7 linked regions of the Coturnix japonica genome follow. The main gene of each other region encodes a partner of the protein of the gene in region 2 in a complex. Links are inferred from orthologs where the notes say so. Each region holds a gene or a part of one and is shown on either strand. Other genes may lie near its edges.

Region 1 (3,874 bases), on a different chromosome or scaffold from region 2:
TTCAATGTCATCATCATTTTCCTCATGTTCTTCAATACCTTTGTCTTCCAAGCTGGACTGGTCAACCTCCTCTTCCACAAGTTCAAGGGCACCATCCTTCTGTCGGCAGCGTACCTGGCACTCAGCATCTCCTTCCACATCTGGATCATGGTAGGTTTGAGGCTGCTGGCTTCGCAGCTCCTTTCTCCCTTCTGTCCCTCTGTGCTGTGGGAGGAAGGCCATAATCTCCTACTTGTAGCTATCGGGCTGCCTCATCCCAGCCCCCAGCCTCAGCACTGCAACCTGCTTGAAAACCCACACAGAAAACCTTGCACAGAAACCCACCACAGCAGAGTGGTCCCCAGTGAAGGCCATGACAGCAGATCCTGCTTTGTTTACCTGGGATTAATCCCCAGCAATCACCAGCGCTCAGAGGCTGGAGTGCTGAAACCCTGCTGAAAAACAAGTCCCAAGGGTCCCTGCTGTGTCCAAGCAGCTTTGTACCCCCTCTTCCCCATCTCAGCTCCCCCCATCCTGTGCCACAGTCACCATTTGACAAGCAAAGCAGCCAGCAGGTGCTTCCTGTATGCTTTTCAACAGGAGAAAGGCCCATCCTGCTGCCCCTGGGCCAGGTCTGTGACTGAAGCTGACCCAGGGATGTTGTACCCACAGCGTCTGGGCAGGAGATTGATGGGGATTTGCAGGGATCTAAAGTCTGAAGCTAGAATAGGTCCTGACTCGCTGGCCAAATCCCCTGAGCTGCTTAATCTTTGGAGCTGCCACCAAGAGCACGACAGCCCTTGTGGGGCCAGCTCCGTCCCATCGGGATCATCAGTGATCCCATGGGTTCAGTGAAGCCCATGGGTTCTTCCTTGTTTCCGTCTGTGTCAGAACCTGCGCTGGAGGGATTCCAGCCGCTTCATCTGGACCGAAGGCCTGCAGACACTGTTTGTTTTCCAGCGGCTGGGTAAGGGCTCGTGCTTACTGAGGCAGCAGGAACCTGCCTGGGGGACACCCCAGCTTAGTCCCTGTGCCCTCATCTCCCTCCCTCCTGCAGCGGCCGTGCTCTACTGCTACTTCTACAAGAGGACTGCAGTGCACCTGGGTGACCCGCTCTTCTACCAGGACTCGCTCTGGCTACGCAAGGAGTTTGCTCACTTCCGTGGTTGATGGCCCCCACTGCAGGAGGGGCAGCTCCTCATAGCCAGGGGATGGAAGGTCTCAGCCCCCCCAGCTCCAGCCCAGCTGTGTTCCTCCTCTTCCTGGTGGTGCCCTGGGAGCTGGCAGGGTGCTCACAGCTCACAGCCCCTGGTGGGATTGGGGCGTTTTTGTGAGTAGTGAGGAAATAAATTGTCTGTATTTTCCAGTCCGTGTGTGCTGGCTCTCTCCTCTTTTATCACGCAGCTTCTCGGTGTCCCACTACTCAGGGCTGTTCCCATTGGGTTGCCCCCCCCGGGGGTCCGCAGGCACAGCGAGGGGCGGAATGGGGGATTCGAACCCGCGGCTCGGTCCTCCAGGGCCATAGAGAGGGCGGGATAGAGCGGCCGAGCGCTTTCCCTCCTGCAGCCGCGGTTCCCATGGAGATGGAAGATGGCGGCGCGGAGTGAGTGCGGGGCCGGGAGCGGGGGGCGGCGGGGCCGGGGGCGGAACGTGAGGCGGGCGGCGGGGCCTCGCCCATCCCATCCCATCCCATCCCGCGACCCCCACAGGCCGCCAGCGCTCCTCGGCTCCGCTGCAGGTCCTGCTCTTCCTCAACGGCTGGTACAGCGCGACCTACTTCGTTCTGGAGGCCTTCATCTTCGCCTACAAGGGTGAGCCCCCGCCCTCCCGCTCCTCCGCCCCCCGCCCCCAGCGCTGAGCGTGGCCGTGCCCGCAGTGCTGCTGCTGCCGTACCCGCTCACCAACCTGCTGCTGGACGTGCTGCTGCTGCTGCTCTACCTCAGCATTGAGGCCACGCGCATCTTCTTTGGTGAGGCCTTGTCCCTCTATCCCGCACCCCGTTTCCCGGTGTCACACTGTGTGGTGCAGCCTTGCACTGCTCACCCTGTGCCCCGCAGGTTCCAAGGGCAACCTGTGCCAGCGCAAGGGGCCTCTGGCCGTCTGCCTGGCCCTGACTGTGCCAGCAGCCATCATGGCGATCTACTGCCTGCTGCTGCAGACCTATGCCCTGCGCCTGGAGGCCATCCTCAGTGCCATCCTCCTGCTCTTCTACTCTATGGAGCTGCTGCTGGGCGGCCTGGCGCTCGCCTCCTTCTCTAGGTAGGTGGCGTGGGAGCAGAGGGAGCTCTGGGGGTTCTCCTGTCCAACCCCCTGCTAAAGAAGGTTTGCTAGAGGGCATTACAAAGGAGAGCACCCGGGTGGCCCCACCACCTCTCTGGGCAAGCTCCTTCCAGTGCTCTATTACCCTCAAAGTCAAGAAGTTTTTCCTTGTGTTTCCTATTGTTGGTTCCCTACTGCCCCTTCTTGTTACTACCACCAGGCACCTCTAAAAAGAGCGTGCCCCCACCCTCTTGACCCCTACACTTCAGATCAGATCCCCTCTCAGCCTTGTCTTCTCCAGGCAGAACAGGCTCAGAGCTGTCAGCCTTTCCTTGTAAGGGAAGTGCTCCAAGCTTCAACCATCTCTGCAGCACTCCAGCAGGTTCCTATTTACCCAGAGCCAAGGAAACCAGAACTGGTCCCAGCGCTCCAGATGTGGCAGAGCAGAGAATAAGGAGAACCTCTGTTGCCCTGCTGGCCACACTCTGCACAATGCACCCCATGGTCCTGTTGGGCTTCTTGGCTGTAAGAACACTGCTAGCATATGGACAACCATTGGTCAACCAGGACACCTGTTGGCATTCTTGGCCACAAAGGCTGGTTCATGGCCAACCCATAATCCACCAGGACACCCAAATCCTCTGCAGATCCCCTTTCTGTCAGCTCAGCCCTTAACCTGCACTGATGTATGCAGTTACTCCTCCCCAGGTGTAGGACGCTGCGCCTTGTTGAACCTCATCAAGTTCATCCCCCACCCAAATCTCAGCCTGCCCAGGTCTCACTGAGAAGCAGCACAGCCTTCTGCTGGTTGAGCCTCTCCTCACACATCCTCTCCTCTGTTCTTTGCAGCATGGATGCATACTGAGGCCCTGCACCAGAGGACCACAGCAGCGCAGGTACACGAGATGGCAGCAAGCAGGTGGCACAGGCTCCATCTCCAGCCTGTGGTGGTGAGCCAGACCCACACTGGCACCTGTGGGCAGTGCCAGGGCTGTGCCTGGGTAGCACCCACCCTGCTGCCACCCAGCCCCGAGGTTTGTGACACACAGGTCAGTCCAAGGTACAGACAATTTGTTTTTTTTACAGCGTTGTAAGAAGAAATCACTATTTTCCAATAAATAGTTATTTTTATCTGGTGCCTGGGCACGTGGCATCCCCCCAGGCCAGAGCACCTCATTACCACAGCCAGCCCCTGAGCCAGCATGGGAGGCACAGCAGCCCTTAGGAAGAGCTGGAAGATTGGGGGTGGGGGGGCGTTACAGAAGTGCTTGGCTCTTGCTGCCCATCCACACCTTCATCCCCTGAACATCCCCACCAGAATCTCTTGAAAAGCTCCATATAAAAGACTGACAACGTCATCAAGTTTATTACACAACTTCCAACCTATCAGAAAGACAAACAAACCTAAGTCACTGCGGGCAGAGGGGGGCAGCGCCTCGCCGGGTGCTTAATAGAGGTTCCTCTCTGCACTTTTCCCCCCCACACTAATTGGAAAGAAACTATAAATTTGTGTTGTTACGTAAAAAAAAAAGCCAACAAAAACAGAACTCACCCACCAAATGCTTCCCCCCAGTGCTCACCTGATGGTACTTGATGGAATTCATTGTGTGATTGTAGCCTAACAAAGACCTGTGGA
Region 2 (3,500 bases):
TTAGAAAGAGCACAAACACTGCAGTCATGGAATATTGTGTCTGCTTCTCTGCTCACCAGCATGAGATGTACATTGCTACTTGATACAGTTCAGTACAGGGCCATGAAGACATTAGAGGGACTGGAGCACTCTCCTATAAGGAAAGGCTAAGAGAGCTGGGGCTGCTTAGCCCTGAGGTACTGATGATATGCTATGCAATTTAACTCAAATATTCAGAAAAGCAATTTCTCTCTTACTTACACTTTGTTTATAGGTTGTTCCAAATATGTAAGCTGCATTCAATTTCGTCTGGGTATCAGGACAAAGCTGAACAAAACACAATAATAATTAGGCTAATTCAATCAGGCTATTGTTTTCTGACACTAAACATTCACAGGTACCCCAAGCAGTTTATATATTCAGCAGGCTCACAAAATATACACTGAGTTGTGTTTTATTTTTAAGGATTGGAAGGCAGAAGCAAGACGATTCATCCTGACACAGTAACAAACAAACAGCAGTCACCATCTAAACCCTGAATGTCAACTATTCTTCTGCAGATAATGAAGCATTTAAAGCGAAGTGCACCAAGAGTGACATGAAGAGCTTAGAAAAGAGGATGGATAATTCCTGATTGTTTTTGCCTGTGTTCCTCTTATTGCCTGCCTAGAGAACTGCTGAGAGCGCCCACATCACTGCTGGACTGCTAAATAAATTATACCCTGTAATTTTCCATAGCCTAGAATTTTTGCTGTTTCTCAGAACTTCCAGGTATTTTAAATGGATACTGGCCCAATGGATTATGAGTTGCTGATTTATACTCCTCATTTTGGAGAGATCTTGAGCCTCAATCAAGGCTTATTTTCCCTAATCTAAATATATTTATCTTACAAACTGTCACTGCTGTAGTAATGAAACACTTGGCTTTTGTTTCAAGGCTTTGGTTGAAGGCAATCAGAACACTGCACTATCAAAAAAACAAAAGGCAATTAAATCAAGCCTACCTGCAAGAGGCCTCCTTCCAAACTCTGCCATTTAAGGAAGTTTCCTGCTGCATCATACGAGGCTGCAATAAACTGCAGTTTCACATCCTGATGATTAAAAAAAAAAGAGACAAACAAGAAAACCCTTTAGGAATTATTGTCCCATTGTTCTACATACATCTAAAACTTTCAGCATAATGGTTTATTTTTCCACCTTAGATTTTATACTTTTATTTTAAATATTTTACTTTTTTAATACATAATTGTCTATATACACATACACACACACACACATATATATATATTTTACAGACTCACTTTTTGCTTTTTTTTTTTTTTTTTACCTCAAACTAAAAAGCTTCCAAGAGAACGACTCGGTTTCCCTTTTGTGCACACACATAATTGTAGATATATCAGGCATTTGCTCAACTCAAATTCACAGTCGACACAAATTACCTACAACCTAAAAGCTACAAATCCATACTATTGTTGGACTTCTACCAGATCTATGCTTATTCAACTACTTCCACATTTGGCGCTGATCACACTGAGCTTTCTTGGTGTATGAGACCCTTATGTCAGGCCTGAACCGATGACTGAGCAGCTAGTGAGAGGACATGGCCAGGCCTGAGCGCACAGCTGCAAACAATAAACCTGTGCAACTAGAAAGGGTGGACTCCCTAACCTTGTTTAAAGGCTGGCAGCCTTAAATGACTGTACAAAACACTTATTTAAACTTAGCGAAAAAGAATATGACTCTTACTTTTTGATTACTGCTGAGAGGTCTTTCACCTCCTATATTTATCTCAGTGCTGACAGGTAAAGGTAAACCTAACAGAAGTAACAAACGCTGAGATATTTTGATTGACAGTGACAAAACAGCTCAATTATAACACGACTTTTTCTATTTTGCTGGAAGGGATTTAGTTTATTGCTTCAGCCTCACACTTCCATTTCCTATAGATATATAATAAGTATTTTGTTTTATAGTCCTCTATAGGATGTAGGTATTTCAAGTAAGGGAAAGACATATAACAACTTTCTTAAGATTTACAGAAATTGAAGTAAAGAATATTGGGAGTGAAAGACAATGCATAACTTCCTATTAACTTTGGAGAGGTATAAAAGATCTGTCTAAATACTGGTTTATCACTGCCAATCCAGAAGAATCCTGGAAACTTATTAAGGACTTAATAGCTGGCTTGTTTCCTGTGTGACACACAGTTGGTCCTGGTCAGATCACTTAGGCAAGCTTATCTTTGCATTATTAATGTGAGTGTACGAGTATGAGCAACAGAAATGTGTGTGCAAGTGAGAGTCCGTAAAATAATATTTAACTGGAGATTTTTTTTTAACAGGAATATCATTTTCTTCTTCCATACAAATCTCCCACTGCATTTTATTACACCAGCTGCCTAAAATTCATCTTTAGTGGACTTGAACCTATAACAAATTGAAAACTTTTCATGTGATGATGTCCTCTTTCTAACATCCACTTCTCTGTGCCTGTTCCCTATCACTTACCTCACTTCTTCCTTTAAAACTGAAGATTGTAGGCAGATGGTTTGTCTCAAGCACTTGGGATGCCAATCCTGGTTGATCACCATAATACAGCCATGGCAGATTATGCCTCCTGAAAAAAATTACAGTGTTTTCTCTAAAGAAACACAACATTTTAAATCAAAGAACACTTATAATAATAAACTCCGTAAACACAATTCAAGATGGAACGTAATGGAAAAGGTAACTTACCAGTACACTATTGAATGGACAATGCCTAGCCTTGCTGTATTGGCATAAATATATTGAAACAAACTGCAGGCGTCTGTACTTGAAGAACTCAGTGAGTTCATATTCATCACACACATATTTCCAAGAGCTTGGCAAGCTGTCAGATTAGAGTACAACTGCAGTGGAGAAACACAGGAACACAGAAAAAAGAATCTATGAACTCCTTTTCATGGGATACAAAATTTGTTATCTTTAGTCATTCCTAAATCTCATCTTCACTTGAAAGCGATTTTGTTTTGCCAATGCCTTATATTTTCTTTAAGTTATTCTGGTTCTACACTCTCACAGGTCTCCAAATGGCAGCATGAAATCAATGCTCTCACTTTTTTAGGGAGGTTTTTTGGTTGCATTATCTAGATGGCATGATGAAAAAAAATAAATAAATAAAAAAAAAAAATCTGCATTTGAAAAACATGGTTTTATTATGGCTGCAAGCTAAATAAATATCCTCTTTTCAGCTTAGTACTTATTGTAGTCTGCTGTTTTTAAACCTTGTATTTACACAATTGTTCAGTTTTGGCCAACAAACTGCTGCCACATGATGGGCAGAAGTGATTCCTGGCAGCTGTACAGTCGCCATTGCCCACTGTCTTTGCATGGGGTCAGATCAGCAGCTGCACAAACATTCAGGCAGAACCTTTGAAGAACTCAACAGGCTGAAGGAGGATAAACTTACTTAAGGGGTGAGAACAGAGTCAGTTAGTGAGGCTGAAGGGAATTAGGAGGATACATCTCAGAGTGGTGTGT
Region 3 (4,094 bases), on a different chromosome or scaffold from region 2:
TGGGCACGCTGAGCTCTTGTCACTGCTGGTGACCTCTGGCTCTTGCAGGTAACTGAAGAGGAGGAGGACTCTGGCGCACCGCCTCTGAAGAGATTTTGTGCTGATCAGAACTCTGTGTGCCACACAGCCTCGGAGAGCTAGCCTGCCCATCCCCGGGGAGAGCCTTCGCCAGACCCTCGCAGAGCTGCCTGCCCTTCCCTGGGGAATGGGGTGCTTCCCTTGTCCTGCCCTTCCCGAGGGACAGGGCACCCCTGCTGCCTCGCCATCCAGCCTGCCCTGCCCTCGGGGGCAGGAGCCTCCCACCAGCCCCTGCAGAGGCAGCCTGCAAGTGATTTGCCCAGCTGAATGGGGCTGCCACCAGTACCTGCAAATTTGCCTCTATTTATTGGCTCCCACCCTCCCTGCTGATCTGTGCTGTAGTGGCATGGGGTTTCTGGTGCGTGGTCTGCATGCGTGGGGGGAGGGATCCTTGGGATGCCCTGTTCTCTGTCACCCCTAACGCACCGGCAGATGCTGTTTGCCTGCTTCTGGATCCACTGTCTGCCCTGTCCCCTGTGCTGGGAACAGAAGAGCCATGTCCCACCTGCAGAAAGTGATGTGTCCGCTCCCTTGTGACCACAGTCTGGGGCGTTCCTGGTGTAGGTCCAAAGGGCAGAGGAGGGAGGGGGGGGAGCGCCCTGAGAATGGAAACAACGGCCCTCCGTGCCGCTGGGACACTGTGCAATAAGCTGCTACTAAGCCATTAGTATTGGAAGAGGGAGGAGTGCTGCCATTTCGGAGGGCAGGTACTGGACACATCGGCCCTGCCTGCTGCTCCTCTGCCTCCAGGCCCTCACAGAAGCCTCTGTCCGCCCCAGACAGGCAGGGGCTGGGATGGAGCGGGGCAGCCGGCACTGCCGTGTCCCAGCTGGACCTGCACCCTGCTCCTCCTGCCCGCCCCGCTCCCCAGGTACATCCCGTCCCCTGGACAGGACACAGGGTGCAGGAGCCCCATGGAGCCCTCCCATGCCCCCATTCCCACGCTCCCCACCCCGCTGGGCCCCCCCCCACCGCCACTGCATGTCCTGCCGTCTGTGATCGAGCCTGGCGAAGCTGAAGGTGCGGCTGCGCGTGGAAGTGGAAAGATATTTTAGCACTGAATAGAATATTTTTAAAATTAAACTATTTGAAATACAGTGCTCAGTGACTGCAGGTGCGTGGGCTACAGCAGCTGGGGCAGGAGCTCAGAGCAGGCGCTGGGCAGCACCGGGCTGAGCCGGGCTGGAGTTTCCTGCTCCAGGCCTGAGCTCGGTGCCAGCTCTCGGGCCCGGTGCTCAGCACGGTGTGGGCCGGGCACCGGGACTTTGCTTTGCACGGGGTCTGTTCCCTGGTGGCTGGTTGGGCTGGAGGCTGCAGGGCCCCGCCATGGACAGCTGGGCTCCTCTGGGCTGCATCCCTGTGAGCTGCCCCTGGATCTGGTGGTCACACACAGCCACAGTCCTGTAGCAGAACGTCTGGTGTGTGTTAAAGCCACAAGTCCCGCTGCGATGCCGGGGGAGCGGCCCTGTGTGCAGCCCATGTCGGGGCACAGCTCAGGGCAGACACAAAGAGCCGCAGGGGGAGCTGCCCTGGGCACCCTGACTGCACTGCACGGGCCCTGGGTTTCCACCTCAGCCTTTCCTTATGGGAGAGAGCCCACACCGAGGTTAATTAACACCACGTGCCCACAGGTATCTTTGTGGCAGCCTTTGATTCATCTCTGTGCATTGCAAAAAATGATTCTTATTTTCCGGTTTATTAAATGGAGCGTATAAATCTAAGCCAAAGGTGCAGCTCCCTCTGTGCGACCGTCACGTGTGTTTCACAGCAGCACTTGCTGTGTGTTCTGCCCCAGTCCGGGGCCGCTCAGCACGTGGTTGTTGTGTGTATCCGGGCAGAGCTGAACCGAGGGCCCACAACGTGGAGGGGGCTCAGGGCGGCTCTGAGGGGTCACAGCGCAGGAACACGAAGCTGTGGGGGTCGCTGAGGTTTGGCTGGATGCGGCCATGCATTGCCAGGCGGGCACATCATTGAAACGTGTGGGAACTTCTGAAGAGTGTGTGACCGTGCAGAGCAGCTCAGAGCACCACGGCTGAACTGGTCGGACTTGAGATAACGTCTCTTTTCCCGTTCAGAACATCGCTGCTCGGCTTCGTTAAGGCGGCTGCGTTAAGACGTTCTGCTGCCGCTGCTCCCCTCTCCTTTCCCGCCGCCCATCGCCCCCGTCCGGTACCGCACTCGGTTCCGCTCCGCTCGTTACCCGGCTCCGCTCCCGGCCGCGCTCTGCTCCCCGCTGCCGCCAGGGGGCGCTGCCGCCGCCCCGCGTCCCTGGTGACGGGATGGCGGCGCCGCTGTGGAGCGCGGAGGCGGGCGGCGGCGTGTACCGCTCCCGGGACCCGGTGCGCAACCTGCGGCTGCGGTGAGCGCCCGGCACGCACGGCCCCGGCTGCGGCTCCGTCCGCGCTCGCTCTCACGATGTCTCCGTCCTTCCCCGCAGGGTCCACATCCAGCGGGTATCGGCCGCCGGGCCCGTCCCGCCGCAGGCCGCGCTGTCCCCGAGCGGCGGCCCCGAGGGGCTGGGGCTGAGCGCCCGAACCGGGCACGGGGCTGCGGGGCGACCCCCGGCCGAGGAGGAGAGCGCCGAGCTGGGATGGCAGCAGAAGCTCTTCAGCCAGGTGCGAACCGCCGCCGGGCAGCGCCGTGTCCGTTCCGTGTCCGTGTCCGTGTCCGTGTCCGTGTCCGTGTCCGGGTCCGTGTCCATGTCCGTGTCCGGGTCCGTGTCCGTTCCGTGTCCGTGTCCCCGCCGCTCACCGGGCCGGGAACTTCTGTGGCCCGGCCGTGGTGAATCAACGCGGCTTTTAACTGTGCCCGTGACGTTCAGTTCGAGGTGGATCTGTACCGACACGAGTCAGCCTGCCAGACTCCGCTGGACCGGCAGTACCACGAGGAGATCCTGAAGCTGGACAGAGCCGGAGGGCGCAAGAACCGCCGCATCTTCACCTACACCGATCACGACCGGTTCACCAACATGGAGGAGGTACCGGCCCGTGGTTCTGCACAGAGCAGCGTCCGTCTGTCGGCAGCACCGGGACCAGCACGGGGCACGTTCGTTGTTTTGTGGCCGTGGTGCAGCGTGCCCGGCGCTGCTCTGCACTGTGTGCTACAGAACGACGGCTCCGTACTGCAGAGCGACGGGCAGGAGCAGCTGGGATGGAGGCACTTGGCTCGGCAGGGTTGTGTTGTTAGTGAAGTTCACAGCTGGCACATGGCTGTGAATAAATATCCCTTATACTTGCATGTACAAATACTTATTCTGGCTTCCAGGGGCAGAATTGCATTTGAGAGAAAAGTCCTGTTGTCATGAAGCGAGTTCTGTTCTGTGTCTCTGTTCCAGCACGGCCAGAAGGTGACTGACTCAGACTGTGAGGTGCCCTCGTACCTGGCGGAGAGGATGGCCAATGTGAGGAGGAGAAGACAGGACCGTAAACCGCTGTGAGTTCAGACTGAGGCTCAGAACTGGCTGATGTGGGTGTCGTGGTGTCCGTGCTGCAGGGCAGCCTGTTCTGTGGGAGCTGTTGGCTTGAGCTGTGCTGGACTCAGGTCTGGCAGTTTGACTCTTGTTTGGTGGGTCTGTGCCCGGCTGCTGGTGCGAGTTCTGCTGACCGTGAGTTGTGCTGTTCTGTGACTGGCAGAGATGGGAGTTCTCTCAAGTCAAAAATCATCACCTGGGAGCCCTCGGAAGAGTTCATAAAGAACAATCACGTGATTAACACTCCTGTTCAGACGATGTACATCATGGCGGACTTGGGACCTTATGGGAAGTAAGTAAAATCCTGAAGCGATCCTGATTTCCCAGAAGCAAACCCATCTCCTTTCTCAAATCTGCCGCTTCTCTCTTCAACTGAGGGAATTCCAAGTGTAACTCCAGCTGCTCTTTCTGCTTCTTTGGGAGGTACTGAGTGTGTCCCTCCAAAAGGTTTTTTAAACCAATGTAGGGCTGTATGGGTGTATCTGTGCCTTTCTGTACCCCCTGTTCCAGAACAAGTGTGTGCTCTATTGAGACTCGCTTTGTGTTT
Region 4 (4,290 bases), on a different chromosome or scaffold from region 2:
CCGGTGTGAGTCGGTTGAGCCCGGTGTGAGCTCGGTGTGAGCTCGTGTGAGATGGTTGTGAGCCCGGGTGTGAGCTGGTGTGAGCCCGGTGTGGAGCCCGGTGTGAGCTCGGTGTGTGAGGCCCGTGTGAGCCGTGTGAGCGGTGTGCGCTCGGTGTGAGCCCGTGATGAGCCCGGTGTGAGCTCGGTGTGAGCTCGGTGTGAGCCCGGTGTGAGCTCGGTGTGAGCTCGGTGTGAGCCGGTGTGAGCTCGGTGTGAGCCCGGTGTGAGCTCGGTGTGAGCTCGGTGTGAGCCGGTGTCGAGCTCGGTGTGAGCCCGGTGTGAGCCGGTGTGAGCTTCGCTGTTGAGCCGGTGTGAGAAGGTGTGAGCTCGGTGTGAGCAGTCAGTTGTGAGCTGCGGTGGTGCACGCTCAGTGTGACTCCCGGTGTGAGCTTCGGTGGTGACCCGGTGGTGAGCAGGTGGAGCTAGGTGGTGAGCTCAGTGTGGAGCTCGGTTTGAGCTCGTGTCAGCCCGAGTGTGGAGCCGGTGTGAGCTCGGTGTGAGCCCGGTGTGAGCCCGGTGTGAGCTCGGTGTGAGCCCGGTGCTGCCGGGGGCACAAAACGAGGTCTCACCGCTGCGGGAACCCAGTCCTGGCCGTAGACGAAGCAGAACTTGCAGTAGAGGTCGTCGAACCCAGGGAACTGCAATGGAGAGGCTGTTAACGGGGCCGGGCCCGGCCCACACGGCACAGACCGGAGATGGGTTACGGGACCGAGGACCGAACAAGGCCTCACCTGCCCGCTCTCGATCTGCCCGTTGACGGCCACCATGAAGACGCTGGGGCTGCTGGCGGCCGCCATCTTGCCGGTGGCCGTTGCCATGAGGACGGACGGAGCGGCGGAAGGGACAAACTATGCGGGGAGGGGCCTCGGAGACCCCCCCCCCTCAAATTCGGGCGGCTCTTTCTAAAGAGCACGGGAAATGGCCGCTAGGTGATGCTGCAATGCAAGGAGATCGAGACAGGGCTGTCAGGGGGGAGAAAAGCTTCGGGTCGGGGGTCTCTGAGGCGCCCACCCCTCGTTATGTTGGGTAATTAATGGTGCTTTTCCAGAATCCCTCATTAAACCAACGGGAAGGAATAACTGCAATAATCCCCCCCTGGCTGCTGATTGCACAGAGCAGGCAGGTCCCTGGGGATGCTCACAAAGTCAAGCCAGGCTTCCAGTTTATACAGTTTAATACATGTGAAACAAGATACATTTCCTTTCGAGTAATGAATGCATAAACAACAGAAGATATACGTGGATGCATAAATATGAGGCGGCATGGAACGAACCAAAGGAGAACGGTTGCTTTAGTTCTTTCTGTTGGTTGGTTGATAGTTTTTCCCCTCCCCAATGTGTCTTTTTGCTGCTGGTGTTGCAGTGCTGGGGCTGATGATGCTCATGGTGTCAGTGCTCTGTGGTGAAGCTGATCCGAGCAGAGGGTCTGGCTGAGGAGTGGGGAAGGAGCAGGGAATAGAGGCTACGAATGGAAAATCAACCCCCAAAACTAAATAAATGTATATTAAAATATATTAAAACGGTGTTCACTTGAACTTAAAAGGCTCTGGAATGTGGTGGAGGAACGTCTATGTGGGTGTGGGTTCAGGTTGGATATTAGGAATAATTCCTCCTCTGAGATAGCGCTGATGCTGGCAGTGCTGCCCAGGGATGGGTTCACCACCCTGGGGGTGTTCAGAACAACAGGGGGACGTGGTTTGGTGTCACAGTGGGATGGGGTTGGGTTGGGGATCCGAGGGGCCTTTCCCAGCCTCACTGGAGCTGATTACCACTCTAAGAATGGAAGGGGTTATGGCCACCATTGCGACCTCACAGCCAGGAGGAGAACAGATCCCAGCCTGCTCACATGGACCGCCACCAACAGCTCTTTGCACCTCGACGTACTGCACCAACAACCTACTTCAAACTGCAGGCAACAAAATACATGTCTTAAATAATTCACTATTTATTCTGTGAATCTCTTCAGATTGAAATTTTTCCCTTTTATTGTTTCGCCTCTGTTTGTTGTTTGTTTGTGCAATGTGGGACACCTCGTTTGTGCGCGGTACTTCAGATTATTGCAGCGTTTAACCTGAATTTCTGTTAAAAAAGGAGGAAGAAAAAGAAAACGAGCGAAAGGATCATTGTACAGACGAGAAGAATGAATAACTTATTATTGCACTGGCTACAATTCAGTAGTGATTTGGTTCCTTGCTGTTGGTTAGGACACAACCTCTAAAGTACAAAGGGAAAATGAAAGGGGCGGCGGAAGGAGGAGCTGTGGGCTGATGGTGGCGGTATAGGGGGGAAAGGAGAGCAAAGGAAGAGCAGAAACATTTGGACAATGAAGGGCTGTAAGAATCAGTTCCACATAAAACCCAAAGAAACACCACCCGGTCGCGGAGTCACACGTAATGCAAAAAACCAGTATTGTTTCTCTATAAAAATATGTGCATTATGAAGAAGAAGAAGAAGTTTTTTGTGAGTATTTTTTCTTGTTTTTTTTTTTTTTCTTTTTTTTTCTATTTTTTTTTTCTCTTTTCTCCTCGTTTTGTATCTCACAAGTACATCGTTTCTATGTATATAATTGCTGATATACAGACAACGTACAGCTCCCATTCCCCAGGGCGCTCCCACGGCGTGTGACGTCTCTAAAAGTGCCTTGTAAAAAGTTGAGCATCTTTAAAAACAAAACAACAACAACAAAACAACAACAACAAAAAGAGCCCCCTTACCCCCCACCCCAACGACAAAGAGAACCCTCAGCCCCCATCCGCCTCCACCCGGATCAATGTGACCGAGGGCGCAGAGGACTGAGAGCCACCCCCCCCCCGACCACATCCACTTTGCCCCCTCTGAACCCCCACCCTGAAACCCGGCACCGTTTCATCCGTTTGTTTGGTTTCTTCTTAAATAATAATAATAATAATTAATAATAATAATATTTTTCTTCTTTTTTCTTTTTTTTTTAATGTTTTTTGTTTTTGTTTTTGTTTTTTTGCAAACCTCCACAGCGCTTAAGAAGAAGGGACTGCTTGAAAGGGAAAAACCAGAGTGTGGCCACGCGGCCGCGCAGCCCCTTCGGTGTCCAACCCCATGTCGGTGTCAAGCCCTTGAGACCCCCCGCACCCCCCTCCCAGACAGCTATACGGGCTCGTCGATGTCTTCTTCTGTCGCAACAGTCACCAAGTCCTGCATCCGGACGGGGCTCTTGGCCACGCTGAGCAGCTCTTTGCTTTTCTCACTGTTGCTCCGTTGAGTTTTTAAAGGCTCCGGCTTTCTCAGTTCGCAGTCCGGTGTGGATCGCCCACTGTCCAGCAGATCCGAGAGGCTGCTCAGGGAGCCGCCATCCGACTGCTCGAAGGAGAAGCCGGGGATGGCCAAGTGCTGTGCACGGCGCTCTGCTTTGCAGCCCGGCTCCCCTGGCTGCGCCTCCGCTGGCTCCAGGGGCTCTCGATATGCTGGGAACTCGCAGGATGGGGTCCTGCGGCGCAGCATGCTGTTCTCAGAGGGTTTGGTGCGTGAGGCCGCCCCGCCATCATCCTCCATGGGAGGATCTATAGAAATACAGGGCGGGCTCATCTTCTTCTTCCTCCTGGCTCCATGGATGTACTCGGACTCCGGTTGGATGTGGGCAGGGGAGCGCGGCTTTTCCTCGGTGCGCTCCTCGAAGCCACAGTCCCCATCGCGGACGGAGGGGCAGATCTCGATGGAGTGTCGCCTTTGGTCATCCGCCCAGCTGGGCTTGGTGAGGAAGCCCTTTGTATCAATGCTGTAAAACTTCTTCAAGTCCCTCTCCTTGCCGCTGCCTGCCACCAGGCTGCTTGTGCTGCAATTCTTCAGGGGCACCGGCGATGTGGCCGGCGAGACGAATGGTGATGTGGAGCAGCTCCCAGCCTCCGAGTGCTCCCCCCAGTCTTTGGCTGAGCTGTTAATGTGGCGAACCTCCTCGTCAGCCAAGTCGGAGGGCTCCAGGAGGCAGCCCTGGGGGGTTGGGGGGCTCTCGGTGGGACTGGGGACCCCGCGCTGGCTGCAGGGGTGTTTCTGAGTCAGTGATGGGTGCCGGTGTGGGGAGGTTGGTGGGGAGCGTGGAGGGGAGGCTGGCAGGGAGGAGGCTGCAGGGTGGAGAGGGCTGGGGGTGAGGGTGTGCTGAGGGTGCTTTGGTGATGGTGGCATCTCTCCATGCTCTGCTTGCAGGTTGTCCTTGGGGTCTAGAGTGTGTCCATCCACCGAGTCCTTCCGAACGGCCTCCTGGAATCAGAGAATCAAGA
Region 5 (3,572 bases), on a different chromosome or scaffold from region 2:
TCTGGTAGTATCTATTCTGGTTGGGGCAAGTTGGATCTTCTTGTCTTACCGACCAGAGCTGGACCACAGTGAAGGTAGGAAATGTTAACTGGCAAAACCTTATTTGTTCAGACTTGTATCTACTGCGGTCTGCATTGGGTGCTCAAGTGTAGTCCTGAGAAATGTTATGAGGAACAGATTTGTGTCTGGGAGGACAAAGGTTAAATGTGCTTCTTCAGATTTCTCTAGAATGTTAATTCACAGCTTTCTATATTTCAGCTGCTACCAGTTTATCCTGCTTAATTCTAATAACTCATTTAGCTTAAAACACATAATTAGTTGGCAGCTTTTACAATTACTGAAAGTAAAACTTACAGTAGGTGTCTAAATTATAATTGCAAGTCATTCTTAAGTAGTAAAAGGCTTATTCAAGGAAGACAGAGGTGTGATATAGCCCAGGTTTTGATGAGATTTTAGATATTTTCAGATGTCAACTAAAATTACATAATATGCTTTAGCAATTTCAAGAGAAAATTTCTGTTTGGATTTATCCCAAGTAGTAAAGAAATTATAATGGAATGGCAAAACAAAAAGAAGTGTGTGATTTCCAACTTGAGTGGAAAAAAAAACAGTGCTGCACATACAGATTGTGTAATTTTGCCGCAAATTGTTGGCAGACAGCAAATTATCAGGTCTCTAAATGGAAATCTTCAGTCTTGGTTCTGACACATTCAAAACTGGAACAACCCATCAGTCTACTTTAAAATACAAATTCAAGTGTCCAGGCTGAAGTCTACTTCCTATAAGCAGCTGCTAATGTCAGTGCTAGTTGTGTTAACCTAGGGGAACAACTATAGTTTTACTAAAGACAGTGGTGAGTGTTCCCATTACTGAAACAAGGGCTACGAAGAAAAGCAGGAGGCTTGGGGAAATTCCAGAGATCTTTTTTGGTATAATGAAATAGTATTTAGGTGAAACTTGTTCGATAAAACCAGTGTCCTTTTCTCTTTCTTTCAGAACTGATGTTTCATACTGAAATTGAGGAATTTCCCCAGGGAGTTATCATACCCAGGGTCCAGCCATAGTGCGGAACATGCACCTCGTAGCTGTAACTGATGGCTCAACACTTTCTGTATTTTAACCATGTATTATAACTTTCATAAAGGAAAAAAAAAAAAAAAGTATTTTTATATTGTATATATTTCATGGGTCTTTTATGTATGCCAATTTTTAAATATTCAAATGTCTGAAATCTTTTATATATCTCCTTTTTGTTTTGTAAAGGAGATTATCTTTAGTACATAAAGTCAATGTTCACTTTTGTAAACATTGCTACCTACACAGCCAGAGGAAATGGGTGAGTGCTGAAGATCTGCTATTCAGTGCTTTTTTGACAGCAGTGCGATATTGTCATCATCAATCTATGTTTTGTTACTGATACTGATAGCAGTTGAGGTATATCCTTTTTCTAAGATATTCCATAGAGATGAAAACAAATCATAGGAAGAAAGCAGTTTAAGTAAGTAAATGCAGACGTCTTGCAGTCTCCTTAGCAGACATAGGCAAGAGCTAGTCTGAAATCCATTTCTCATGCAGGTATCACACAGGACTAGTTTTACGTTTTATTTAGTATGTACTGAGTTTTGCATTATTTTATTTAATATATCTGAAGGTGGTTTTAACAGGAGTGCAGTGTCAAAGATCCCTGGAGGTTAATGTGTTATAAAAGTGATGGAGAGTTTAGCCAGATGGAAGAGTGAAAGGGAGATGTTAAAGAGGTAGTAAGTTTCTGTACTGCTGCCTAAGTTGGTTTAAAACAAGAATGGGAACATGAATAACTAGGGCAGCTTCTGCCTTGTCAAGGGTTCTAGTGTGCTTATTTAACAAATTTCAGTAATTCTAGAAAGTAAGTAATTACATAATTCTAGAGAGGGGGAAAAGAAGTTATTCTGGACTTGAAAGATTTTCCATAGCTGCTGGTTCTACTTTAGGGCATCCACTTGGTTGTGGGAAGGAACTCTTTAACTTTTTAGTCGGTTGTTATGATGTGTATGTGTTCTTGTAAAACTGTGGAGCTCAATTACAGCTGGTGCTGCATTGTACATTATAACAAAGAGATTCAGGATGCTACTCTCCATCAGTGTTACATCAGAGGTCCTTGTGATTTGCTGTAGGAGATGGGAGCTCAGGCCACGACGTAGTGTTCCCACATAGGTTTCCACACAGGAATTTCCTTGCAAAGCAGGAAATGCACATCACAGTTTCTTTGAGTGTCGTGTGTTTGGTTTACAGAATTGCTGAGCTCCTGAATATGAGATTATTAATGGATTGTATTTGCCATTTCATGCTTCTGTCATCTTGGCATGTGATAAAAAGTATAACTTCTCTCATAAGGTACAGAGGTTAAACACAACCGTGCAAAGGCATTCAGTCAATATAAACATGAAGGACATCACTGCTTGATTTCATTTCTGAAATTATTCCTAGGAACTGGCCTTCTAAGTATCCCACAAATGAAGCAGTGCCAGCCAGGAACCAGATTTGCTCTCATTGTGAAAATAGTTGGCTTACATGGTTGAGCAGTGATGAAGTTTTTGGACTTAATGGAATCAGTAGTTCAAGCCATACTTGCCTTCCTAGTTTGTACCTTTTTTTTGAGCACCAGAATATATAAACCTAAATGAATGAAAGAGGTTTGAGGATTGCCATTCAAAATCACAGATAAACAATTTCATGGCTTATTACCTCTTTTACAAGGTAGTTTTCATTCCATTAAGCATCACAATGGAATTTAACTGCTTTTTGTATGTGTGTGTGTGTGTAATTTTAGAACATCTTAAAGTTTACAGAATAGATGTTTAATTGCAGAACATGTGGCATATGTAGAAGCCTTAATTGAAATGTCTTTGTGCATTTACAATGGTTTTTGATACAGTATTTTGTGTCCAAGAAAAATTTGCAGAGAAGTTAGTGCCAATTTTTAAGTATCTGAAACAGGTGAGGAAGTGGTCTGAATGAATATTAGCTTGTACTACTTTGAACTGTTTCCGATTGTTTAGTTTGTTTAAAATAAAACAGTCTAACTTGTTTTTTCCTCAGTGCTAACTTTGTTACTGTATACAAACTCTGAGCAGATGCTGTGGGAAAACATTGCTTTCTGTGTGTGTTTCCATTACTGCTGTAAGTAATGGCTGTCTTTTCTTTCCACCAGCAGGCTCCTGCCACTGTTCTGGCCTTCTGCACTCAGAAATAGCTCTGTAAAACCCCAGTAACCAGCGAGTATGCTCACTGCTCTGTGCTTTCTGAGGTCTGGATTGCTTCAGGAGCATTCCGGCTGCTTAGGCTGGACTTAAGGAAGGAGTGTTTATAATGATGGCAGTGAGGCAGTGGCACAGGTAGCACAGCTGCCGCGTCCCTGGAGACGCTCAAGGTCAGACTGCACGGGGCTGCAAGCACCTTCATCTGGCGTATGTCCCTGTTCATTGCAGGGTGTTGGACCACAAGGCGTTTCAGGGGCCCTCCCAGCGCCATGATTCAGCGATGTAGTGCAGCGCAGTTCCGTGGATGCCCTGTGGGACGCAGCCTGACAGCGG
Region 6 (4,083 bases), on a different chromosome or scaffold from region 2:
CAACTCCCTACAGTATGTGTGGGTGAACTTTAGGCTGGAAAGCCTGACCTCACTGAAATCCATGATACATTTGCTGCTGCTTTCAATCAGCTGGAGCTCCTCATAAGAGCTCCTCATAAGAGCTTTCATGACTGAAAACTGACTTGACTGAGAGAGAAGCTGTTCTGACAGCCAAGAAGAGAATGTTTCAGTGTTGTTTGATACGTGGAATGACATGTAAGCCAGCAGTATAGCTATGCTGCTGTAAGTACATAAAGTTAATGAGTGCTCCTGCCTTGAAAGGAGTTTCATCAACTTGGGATGGATTTATTGGTGGAAATTCATGTTCACCTCCATGAACGCAACCTGCCTGTGCACACAGTTTATTTCCGTGGCTCCTGTCACTGCAAAGGGATAAAACTGTGGGATGTTTGCAGGTTTCCCTGGCAACAGGACAAAGGAAAACCTCTCACTCCTCACGGATACGGATCGTGTCCTCAGGGATGGGCCTTAGAGCTTTATGAAGCACAGCGCACTCCATCCTCACGGCCGCCCGGTGCCGGTCTCCGCCGCCATCTTGCTTGGTGGAAGGGCTCGGCTCCCCCCGCCCCACCTGCCCCGCCGCCATGTTTGTCGCTGACTGGCGGCCGCTCTTACCTGCGCGCTCGCTGCGGCTGTGCGGGCCGGAGCGGCGGCCGTCGGTGAACATGGAGCGGCTGAAGGAGCCCAGGCGGCGCCGCAGAGGCTCGGGCAGCGACATGCCGCCGGGCTGGGGCGGGGAAGCGCAGGCGCCGTGGGGCTCCGGCAGAAGGTCCGGGCTGGGGCGAGGCGAGGCACGGAGCGGTTTGTTCCGGGGAGGAGGAAGGGATCCCTGAGGGACGGAACGCTTCGCAACGCCGGGATGGGGAGCAGCTCGTGCCCTGCGCTGATAATAGGGACTGATGTGTGCGCATATAGGGAGATCCCAACCAGTTTTGCAGTCAAATGCGGCTGCAGGAATCGACAGCGAGCATTCCCTGAAAGCAGGAGTCGGGTCAGTAAGAGAGATTTCACATGGAGATGAAGGATCTTTTTCTAAGGGTTGAGTGGAGGAGCTGGGTCAAAGAAGGAGGGTCGACCTGAGGAAGACTTCTGACTTCATCCCAACGACCAGCAGAGTGAGACCCCAATACGGACTGCTCACAAGTCAGTAGGAGGGACAGCATGTAAATGAGTTCCCCTAAAACGATGAATATGCTAATGATTCCTTGGAAATCTGTTTCATATGTATATACTTGCTCTACAACTTTCTAACGCTCCTGTCTATCAATGCACATGATAGGAGGAGTGATCCCCCATGTGCCCAGCGCTGAATAAACACATACCTGCTTTATAACCTAGTTCTGGCTATAGAGTTTGATTCTGCACATCATTCCCCCAAATGAAAACCAACCAACTGACCCAAAAATCAAAGCAAACCAAACTGGAGACCAGAAGGGATGAGGAAGAAGAGTGTCCCATTACAGGCAGGGCAGGCAGCAAGCTTTACTGCGTGAGCGCACTTAGTAACATAAATCTTAAGTTGCAGGTGAGGCTTATTCCTATTTTGCAGATTAAACAGGTGAGGTTTAGTCTTGAGAAACACTCTTTGCAGTTTCTGTTGCGCCACACGGAAGAGGGTACAAGATCAGCCTGCGGAGCAGTGAGCACAGCTCAGTGATGCTACCAGAGCTATCTGAAAAGTAGGGTGAGTAAAGCAATATGAGCTGCAGTCACAGGGATACATACTGTGGTTGTGTTCTGGCTGGATGTGGACCTCTGAGCTGTTAGGGCACTGGAGGTGTACCATGGTTTCAATGATAAAAATCTGGGAGTGGATGCCGGCTCATTAGCTAACTACCTGGTAAATAATTGAAGAGCTTAAAAATTGCTTTTATGTACCAGAAAACATTATGAAAATCAACATTATTGTTGGTTAGGCTTCTGAGCATTAACAGGTGCAATCTATATTGGTTGTCTTGCCAGTTTCCAGTAGGTGCTAGGAATGTATTTCCTGCCAGACTCAGAACCACAGAATCACAGCATCACCAAGGTTGGAAAAGTCCTACAAGATCACCCAGTCCAACCAGCCACTCATCACCAATAGTTCTCACTAAACCATGATCCTCAACACAGCGTCCAATTGTTCCTTGAACACCTCCAGGGCTGGTGACTCTACCACCTCCCTGGGCAGCCCATCCCACTGCCTGACCACTCTTTCAGAGCAGTAATATTTCCTCATGTCCAGCCTGAACCTCCCCTGGTGCAGCTTGAAGCCATTCCCTTTAGTCCTATTGGAAGATAGGAGGCTCAGGGGAGGAAGGGGAGTGTCACGGAGTTCTCTCTAGAGCTCACTCCGGGACAGTGGGAACAAACCCAGGGGAGCAGGAACAAAAGTTCCCCCTTTCTCTAGCGGCACTGTACGGCGCGGCGGCGGCGCGGCCCGGCCACGTGCGTTTCGGGAGGGGGGAAGGGAAGGGAGATTGCGATTAGGTCTAACAAAAAATGAAGGAGAAAAAAGGTGATCTGAGAATGAATGGCAGTTCAATACCTAATAACGCTAAACAACAACAAGAGAGTTTCAACAAAGAGAATACCACGTCCCCAGTCTCACCGATGGAGCTGTGGAAGGCGGGAAGCTCCGACCGCGTAGTCTCCTCGCAGGGAGCCGGGCCAGCAACCCCGTCCCCTTCCCCACTTCCCCTCCGGTGCCACTCCCCACATGCCCATTTAAGGCAGTCCACAGAAAAAAAACTTGTCCCCTTTACTCCCATTATTAGGCATGGTGTTCTGTTGTGGAATACCAACACCAACCAAATTACAAAACCATAACAGGGAGGCTCAGGGGAGACCTCGTTGCTCTCTATAACTTCCTGAAGGGAGGTTGTAGCGAACTGGGGGTTGGCCTCTGCTCTCATGTCATTAGTGATAGGACCAGAGGGAACGGTTTCAAGCTTTGGCAAGGGAGATTCAGGCTGGACATTACTTCTCAGAAAGGGAGGTCAGGCACTGGAATGAACTACCCAGGGAGGTGGTAGAGTCACCGATCCTGGGGGTGTTCAAGGAAAGACTGGATGTTGTGTTGAGGGACATAGTTTAATGGGAGCTATTGGTAATAGGTGAACGGTTGGACTGGATGATCTTTTAGGTCTGTTCCAACCTTGGTGATGCTGTGATTCTGTGATTCTTTCAGAGACTGTGAAGCAAATCCAGCTTAGCGGTCACCGAAGTATAAAGAGAAGTATTTGGTGAAGGGGAGACTGTTGGAATGCAGACACCACAAGAGGTGACTGGATTTGCCATGGGAACTCAATTTCCAGAGCTGAGGTGTGAATCTGTGCTATCTGGCAGCCTCACATTTCAGCAGATGGCAAAGCACCCGACACAGCCCTGTGGAATAAAGCTGTGTGCGTTTTCATTTAACATTCTTGTCTGTGCAAATGCTTAAAATATTCAGTGAAGATGGAATCATGGAACATACTCTTTGTTTCTGCTCATTCTGATGGGTTTTGGTTTTGGTTTTTGGGTATTTTTTTAATGCTAAGGCACACATTTTTTGCCCACTTTCTGAACAGACATCTGATTTTCTATAGGGTGGGTTGAGGAGCACATGCTCAAGTTTCAAGCAAGAGAACATTAAAACTTGATGGATTATAACACCTGGACAGGTCAGGGTTTCCTTGTACCATAAGGATATCAATGTGGGCTGTAAGGGGTGGAAGGAGGAAAGAAGTTCAGCTATGAAGTGTCTGTATCAGCTACAATGACCATCTGTATAAATACTTAAGTGTCCAGTGTTTGTGATGGAGCTGCTTTTGGCGTTTCTTTAACAGAAAGACATTCTGCTGCTTAGTTTCTTTGTTTCTATCCCTGTCTTAATGCTTAAGGTAGAAATAACTGGATTTCCAACTCTGTGCTTCAAAATGAGACTGTAACTGCACAGCACATTACATGACCATTTTATTTCTCTCCACACGTGCTAGCTATAAATAAAACAAAAATGTCTGAAAACCTGCCTGAAAGCTTTAAATCAGAGGAATATTGGATCTTTGTGTATCCACAGTAGTCCAGCTAAGTTGGTAGACA
Region 7 (4,006 bases), on a different chromosome or scaffold from region 2:
CTCTGTGATACCCTGGGAGAGCTCATGTATGTCATGAATCCGTTTCTCCACTGGTTCTTTTAGAACCTCACCCAAGTTCCCCAGCTTCTCTGTAAAACACAAACTACTGCAGGTTAACGGTGACTGTTACTTCTGCCAGAGTTTTGAATGGATCAGACTGAGAATATCTGTTTAGAATATGCATATTGAAGTGCATCCATACTTAAACTGAGGCACGTACAAAATTATTTCCTCACAGGATTTTCTTCTGATTTTAACCAGGATCCACTTCCTACAGGAGCTCTTTCACAACCACGAGTACTTCTTGTTACTGCAAACTTCCTCAGGATGAAATCTCTTCCAAGTCTATTACAAACCATCTGCATGGCGTGTCCAAAGAGAGCAGCCCAGGGCAGCCAACAAACAGCTCGAGCACCTCATCCACTGTCATTTATGAAGACCCTGTTTATTAAACCAGTCCTACTCTCAGTTATCTTAAACATCCAAAAATGAAATTAAACTATTTAATCAGAAGGATACATGTCCTTAAGCAGAATTTCTGACATCTTCCCCGATGAGGAGGAACATAGTGACTCTGCCAGTTTGTTCACCTCGATCCGAATAGTTTTAAGTACATTCAGGATAAATATCGATTGGTCCAGGACTCTGAGAACTCTGGTGTCATTTATTCTGAGAACAGCAAGTTTTGCATGTGTAGCAATAATTCAGCTATTTACAACAGTTTTAGAGGGGCTATGGTCTATGTTAGTTATAGGACTGAAAATGAATCCTGCTCAATTAGTAAAATATACTTAAAGGAGAGAAACCGAAATGTAGGTAGTATTTTTTTGCTTTATTTTAGCATTGCATCAGATACACATGTTGATTCTGTATATAACCAGTCCCTTGATTGGACTTAATCCCGCAATGTTTGGATCACAAATACAGTCTATAATGTTTAAACACATCAAAACCTTGATGCTTAAAGTAACACAGTAATGCAGTAAATCCCTCAACAGCAACCTACTGCATTTTAAACTGCTTGAGTTTTCATTTCATAGGCATTCCCACATAGTGCTCTTTCAAATTATTAATTAATTAATTCGTGTTGATGGATAAATTAATGTATCTCTGATGGCGGACATGCATTATTGATTCATCTCGTCCTACACACTGAGGTGCCGCTCTGTGGAACCCCATGATGCCCAGCAGGGGGCGCTGTTTCCCATCACACACCGCGCTCCCTGGCAACCGCGCCGTTGCTAAGGGAGGCCTAGGCCGTTGCTAAGGGAGGCCTAGTCTGTCTGTAGGGGCGGCCTAGCAGTGTCCGTCATGGTGGCGGCGCTGAGGCTTGGCCTGCTTCTTTTCTTATCGCCGCTTCGTGCAGCCGAGCCCAGCACTGATCTCCCATCCAGCCCAGAGACGCCATCGAAGACCCGTGCTGCCGCTTGGGAGCGGGGTCGCAGCGGGCCGGCCCCGCTCACGGACGGTGGGTGCCGGGTGGGGTGGGGGGGCTTGGCCCGAGGGGAATCCTGTTTCTGTGGATATATAGTGCTATCACGACACAAATCACAAATGTTTGTCGTTGTAAATGACTGCTCTTACCAAAATGATGTTTGGGTTTTTTTTCATCCAAATACAAGAAACAAACTGATAAACAGAATTTCACTACCTTGTAACAAATAGATAAAGATAGTATCACTGCCTTGTTTGTATCTTTTCTTGCTCCGGACCTAGTTTCGTACCTTCATACCTTGAAAATTCCCAAAAACAGTTGCTTTTTTCAGTTTCATAGGGGAAAAAAAAAAAAAAAAAAAAAAAAAAAAAAAAAAGTGTCAGATTCTGGTATGCTCTTGGCTTTGTTATTTGCCCCTAAAATACTTGTGAACTCTCAAAAAATGACCTGGAGGAGAAAAAAAAGAAAAAACACAAAAAACCAGCATAAAGTTGGATATAGACTTTTGACCATTGTCAAGAAGAAGGCGAGGTGAAACTTGAAAGTGTTAGGGAACATGCTGTAGTGTGCAAAGTTCCAGTCCTAATTCTAACTTCAATCTTTTCTCCAGTTGCCAAGCTGTGTGTTTGTGATCTGTTGGTGGCACAGTGTGATGTAAATTGCTGTTGTGACCCTGACTGCAGTGAAGCAGATTTCAGTCTCTTTACAACGTGTTTGGTTCCTATTGTCACGTAAGTGAATAAACAGCTATCTGAAATACAAAATTGTCTTATTTGGTGTGTGTATTTGCATGAGTTCTATATTCTCCTCTTACAAATTCCTAACCAGTCTCTTCCCGTGCCATCCTAACCCCTGCCCACCTTTTTACCAATCCCTGCAGCACCAGGTTTTGGCTCCCAACCAGGCAGAACAGCAAATTGGCCTCCCGGCCCACTTTCTCATTCCTTCTTTTCTAAATTTGTGCTTCTTCCTTTTTCTTCCTGTTGTACTGTCCTACTATGTGTGGGTGCTCAACTGATGAAGCCTTATGCTGGGGGATGAAGAATGTATCTTCAGACCTTCATCAATATAATGCAGTGTCTGGAATTTAAGAAAGCTGATGCCACACGACCATCTGGCCACCTCCATAATCCAGCAGTAGCTTCTCAGTAACCTCTAATTGAGGTTTACAGTATCAACTAGAAACATGATCAATTCAGGGCTTAATGAAATAGTGTGAGTGTTGCTCTGATCCTGGTTTTACAAATCAATGGTCCCAGCCTGCTGCCTCGCTGCCAATCTGTCACTTTACAAACAGTAGAATGTAACATTATATGCATGAAGTAACATGGATAGTTACTTCCTTGCTATTTACAGTTTATCTGAAAACACCTTTACCTAATTCCATCCTCTCAAAAACGAGTTATGAAAGCTCACTTTATTATCTTAATATAAAACCTCTTGGTGGCTTCTCAGAACAATAAGTACAGCATTTCAACCCACCTTCTGCATAAATTATGCCAATCTCAACGCTGGGGTTTATTCTTGGTGCTTTGAAATTTGAATTAGCAGTCATCCCAGACTGCCATTTCTTATTGTTCTTGCACATAATGACTACTGCTACCCATTTATAGATATTTAGATATATCAGAAAGGTCTAATCAACGCCTTCCTGAATGACAGTTAAATTGCCTCAGGTGACTGTTCTGTCTTTGTCAACTAGAAATGCATTAAATGAAGCTGTAGTTGTCCCCAAAAATTCTTTTCTATAAAACGTTCATTTTTTGCATGAAATTTCCAATGCCTGCAAGTATTGTGGATCTCATTATTTACATTTGGATTTATGGACATTTGTGTAATTGTGGTAATTGCTGAATGGATTTTGCCTGATCACAGGTGAGAGGTTACATATGGCACCTCAAACTCTAAGGAAAAAGGGTGTTTGATACGGGTTGTGATACTACTAACCAGTGCTTCACCTCATCATTTAACTTCAGCTCCGTGCTTAAAAGGTCATTTCTAAAAGCTGTTTACTTTCTCAGTCCCTGCCACTGACTGCTTTAACTCTGCCTAATTACCCATTTGCTGCCTCAGCACGCAAAGAGAACTTTAAAATATGGTCAGCAGTAACTTCTAGTGGATCACTGATTTTTTTGTTATTACTTGCAGAGGTGACAGCCATCTTTGTAGTCAGAAAGCTGCAATATATTCACTTGATACTAAAGCAAATCCACCAGGAAGAGTTTTTAAATTAGTTGACCACATAAATCCCAGTGTTTTCTGCATCCATGCTACAAACTGTAAGTAATGTTGTTGCCAATATTTATTAGACATCTCTTTTTATAAGTTCTCTAGGTACAAAAATAGACTAAAATTAACAATAACTAAACCTGTCAGAAAACTGATTATTCTGTGCACTCACGGTCCTTATGTTGTAATACTTCTGTTTGTGAAACTATCTCATGCTCCAAGTCTTAATCCTCTCTGTTGAAAGCACGCTCCTGGTTCTAACTAAGCTTAATTAACAGTTTTAATCTAATTTTCTGTTGGCAAATTGAGAGTTGAAAAGTGATGTTTTCCTTAATATATATA

Evidence for each region.
Region 1: TMEM67 (region 2) and TMEM216 share a complex: the UniProt entries of both Homo sapiens proteins name them as parts of the tectonic-like complex. The link is inferred for Coturnix japonica from reciprocal best matches to the Homo sapiens genes TMEM67 and TMEM216.
Region 3: TMEM67 (region 2) and MKS1 share a complex: the UniProt entries of both Homo sapiens proteins name them as parts of the tectonic-like complex. The link is inferred for Coturnix japonica from reciprocal best matches to the Homo sapiens genes TMEM67 and MKS1.
Region 4: TMEM67 (region 2) and B9D1 share a complex: the UniProt entries of both Homo sapiens proteins name them as parts of the tectonic-like complex. The link is inferred for Coturnix japonica from reciprocal best matches to the Homo sapiens genes TMEM67 and B9D1.
Region 5: TMEM67 (region 2) and TMEM237 share a complex: the UniProt entries of both Homo sapiens proteins name them as parts of the tectonic-like complex. The link is inferred for Coturnix japonica from reciprocal best matches to the Homo sapiens genes TMEM67 and TMEM237.
Region 6: TMEM67 (region 2) and TMEM17 share a complex: the UniProt entries of both Homo sapiens proteins name them as parts of the tectonic-like complex. The link is inferred for Coturnix japonica from reciprocal best matches to the Homo sapiens genes TMEM67 and TMEM17.
Region 7: TMEM67 (region 2) and TCTN1 share a complex: the UniProt entries of both Homo sapiens proteins name them as parts of the tectonic-like complex. The link is inferred for Coturnix japonica from reciprocal best matches to the Homo sapiens genes TMEM67 and TCTN1.

The regions. Positions count from the first base shown.
Region 1 is NC_029520.1:292,621-296,494, forward strand, and holds TMEM216 (transmembrane protein 216), read left to right. Parts: upstream 1-1,456; 5' UTR 1,457-1,569; coding exon 1,570-1,582; intron 1,583-1,688; coding exon 1,689-1,790; intron 1,791-1,855; coding exon 1,856-1,948; intron 1,949-2,036; coding exon 2,037-2,238; intron 2,239-3,087; coding exon 3,088-3,103; 3' UTR 3,104-3,374; downstream 3,375-3,874. Other genes in the region: TMEM138 (transmembrane protein 138), read left to right, coding at 1-150, 871-946, 1,037-1,149. UniProt on the Homo sapiens protein: Part of the tectonic-like complex which is required for tissue-specific ciliogenesis and may regulate ciliary membrane composition.
Region 2 is NC_029517.1:114,030,023-114,033,522, reverse strand, and holds part of TMEM67 (meckelin), read right to left. Parts: intron 2,870-3,500; coding exon 2,715-2,869; intron 2,596-2,714; coding exon 2,487-2,595; intron 1,071-2,486; coding exon 984-1,070; intron 307-983; coding exon 241-306; intron 1-240. UniProt on the Homo sapiens protein: Required for ciliary structure and function. Part of the tectonic-like complex which is required for tissue-specific ciliogenesis and may regulate ciliary membrane composition.
Region 3 is NC_029534.1:119,462-123,555, reverse strand, and holds the start of MKS1 (Meckel syndrome type 1 protein), read left to right. Parts: upstream 1-1,294; 5' UTR 1,295-2,357; coding exon 2,358-2,437; intron 2,438-2,515; coding exon 2,516-2,693; intron 2,694-2,899; coding exon 2,900-3,055; intron 3,056-3,412; coding exon 3,413-3,510; intron 3,511-3,710; coding exon 3,711-3,839; intron 3,840-4,094. Other genes in the region: BCL7B (B-cell CLL/lymphoma 7 protein family member B), read left to right, coding at 49-141. UniProt on the Homo sapiens protein: Component of the tectonic-like complex, a complex localized at the transition zone of primary cilia and acting as a barrier that prevents diffusion of transmembrane proteins between the cilia and plasma membranes.
Region 4 is NC_029529.1:5,249,675-5,253,964, forward strand, and holds the start of B9D1 (B9 domain-containing protein 1), read right to left. Parts: upstream 2,801-4,290; 5' UTR 860-2,800; coding exon 773-859; intron 680-772; coding exon 611-679; intron 1-610. Other genes in the region: CACNA1H (voltage-dependent T-type calcium channel subunit alpha-1H), read right to left, coding at 3,164-4,270. UniProt on the Homo sapiens protein: Component of the tectonic-like complex, a complex localized at the transition zone of primary cilia and acting as a barrier that prevents diffusion of transmembrane proteins between the cilia and plasma membranes.
Region 5 is NC_029522.1:9,988,128-9,991,699, reverse strand, and holds the end of TMEM237 (transmembrane protein 237), read left to right. Parts: coding exon 1-74; intron 75-996; coding exon 997-1,064; 3' UTR 1,065-3,072; downstream 3,073-3,572. UniProt on the Homo sapiens protein: Component of the transition zone in primary cilia. Required for ciliogenesis.
Region 6 is NC_029518.1:2,315,324-2,319,406, reverse strand, and holds the start of TMEM17 (transmembrane protein 17), read right to left. Parts: upstream 2,801-4,083; 5' UTR 2,772-2,800; coding exon 2,612-2,771; intron 1,056-2,611; exon of another isoform or gene 740-1,055; coding exon of another isoform or gene 637-739; intron 1-636. UniProt on the Homo sapiens protein: Transmembrane component of the tectonic-like complex, a complex localized at the transition zone of primary cilia and acting as a barrier that prevents diffusion of transmembrane proteins between the cilia and plasma membranes.
Region 7 is NC_029530.1:5,160,147-5,164,152, forward strand, and holds the start of TCTN1 (tectonic-1), read left to right. Parts: upstream 1-1,206; 5' UTR 1,207-1,311; coding exon 1,312-1,468; intron 1,469-2,045; coding exon 2,046-2,166; intron 2,167-3,583; coding exon 3,584-3,714; intron 3,715-4,006. UniProt on the Homo sapiens protein: Component of the tectonic-like complex, a complex localized at the transition zone of primary cilia and acting as a barrier that prevents diffusion of transmembrane proteins between the cilia and plasma membranes.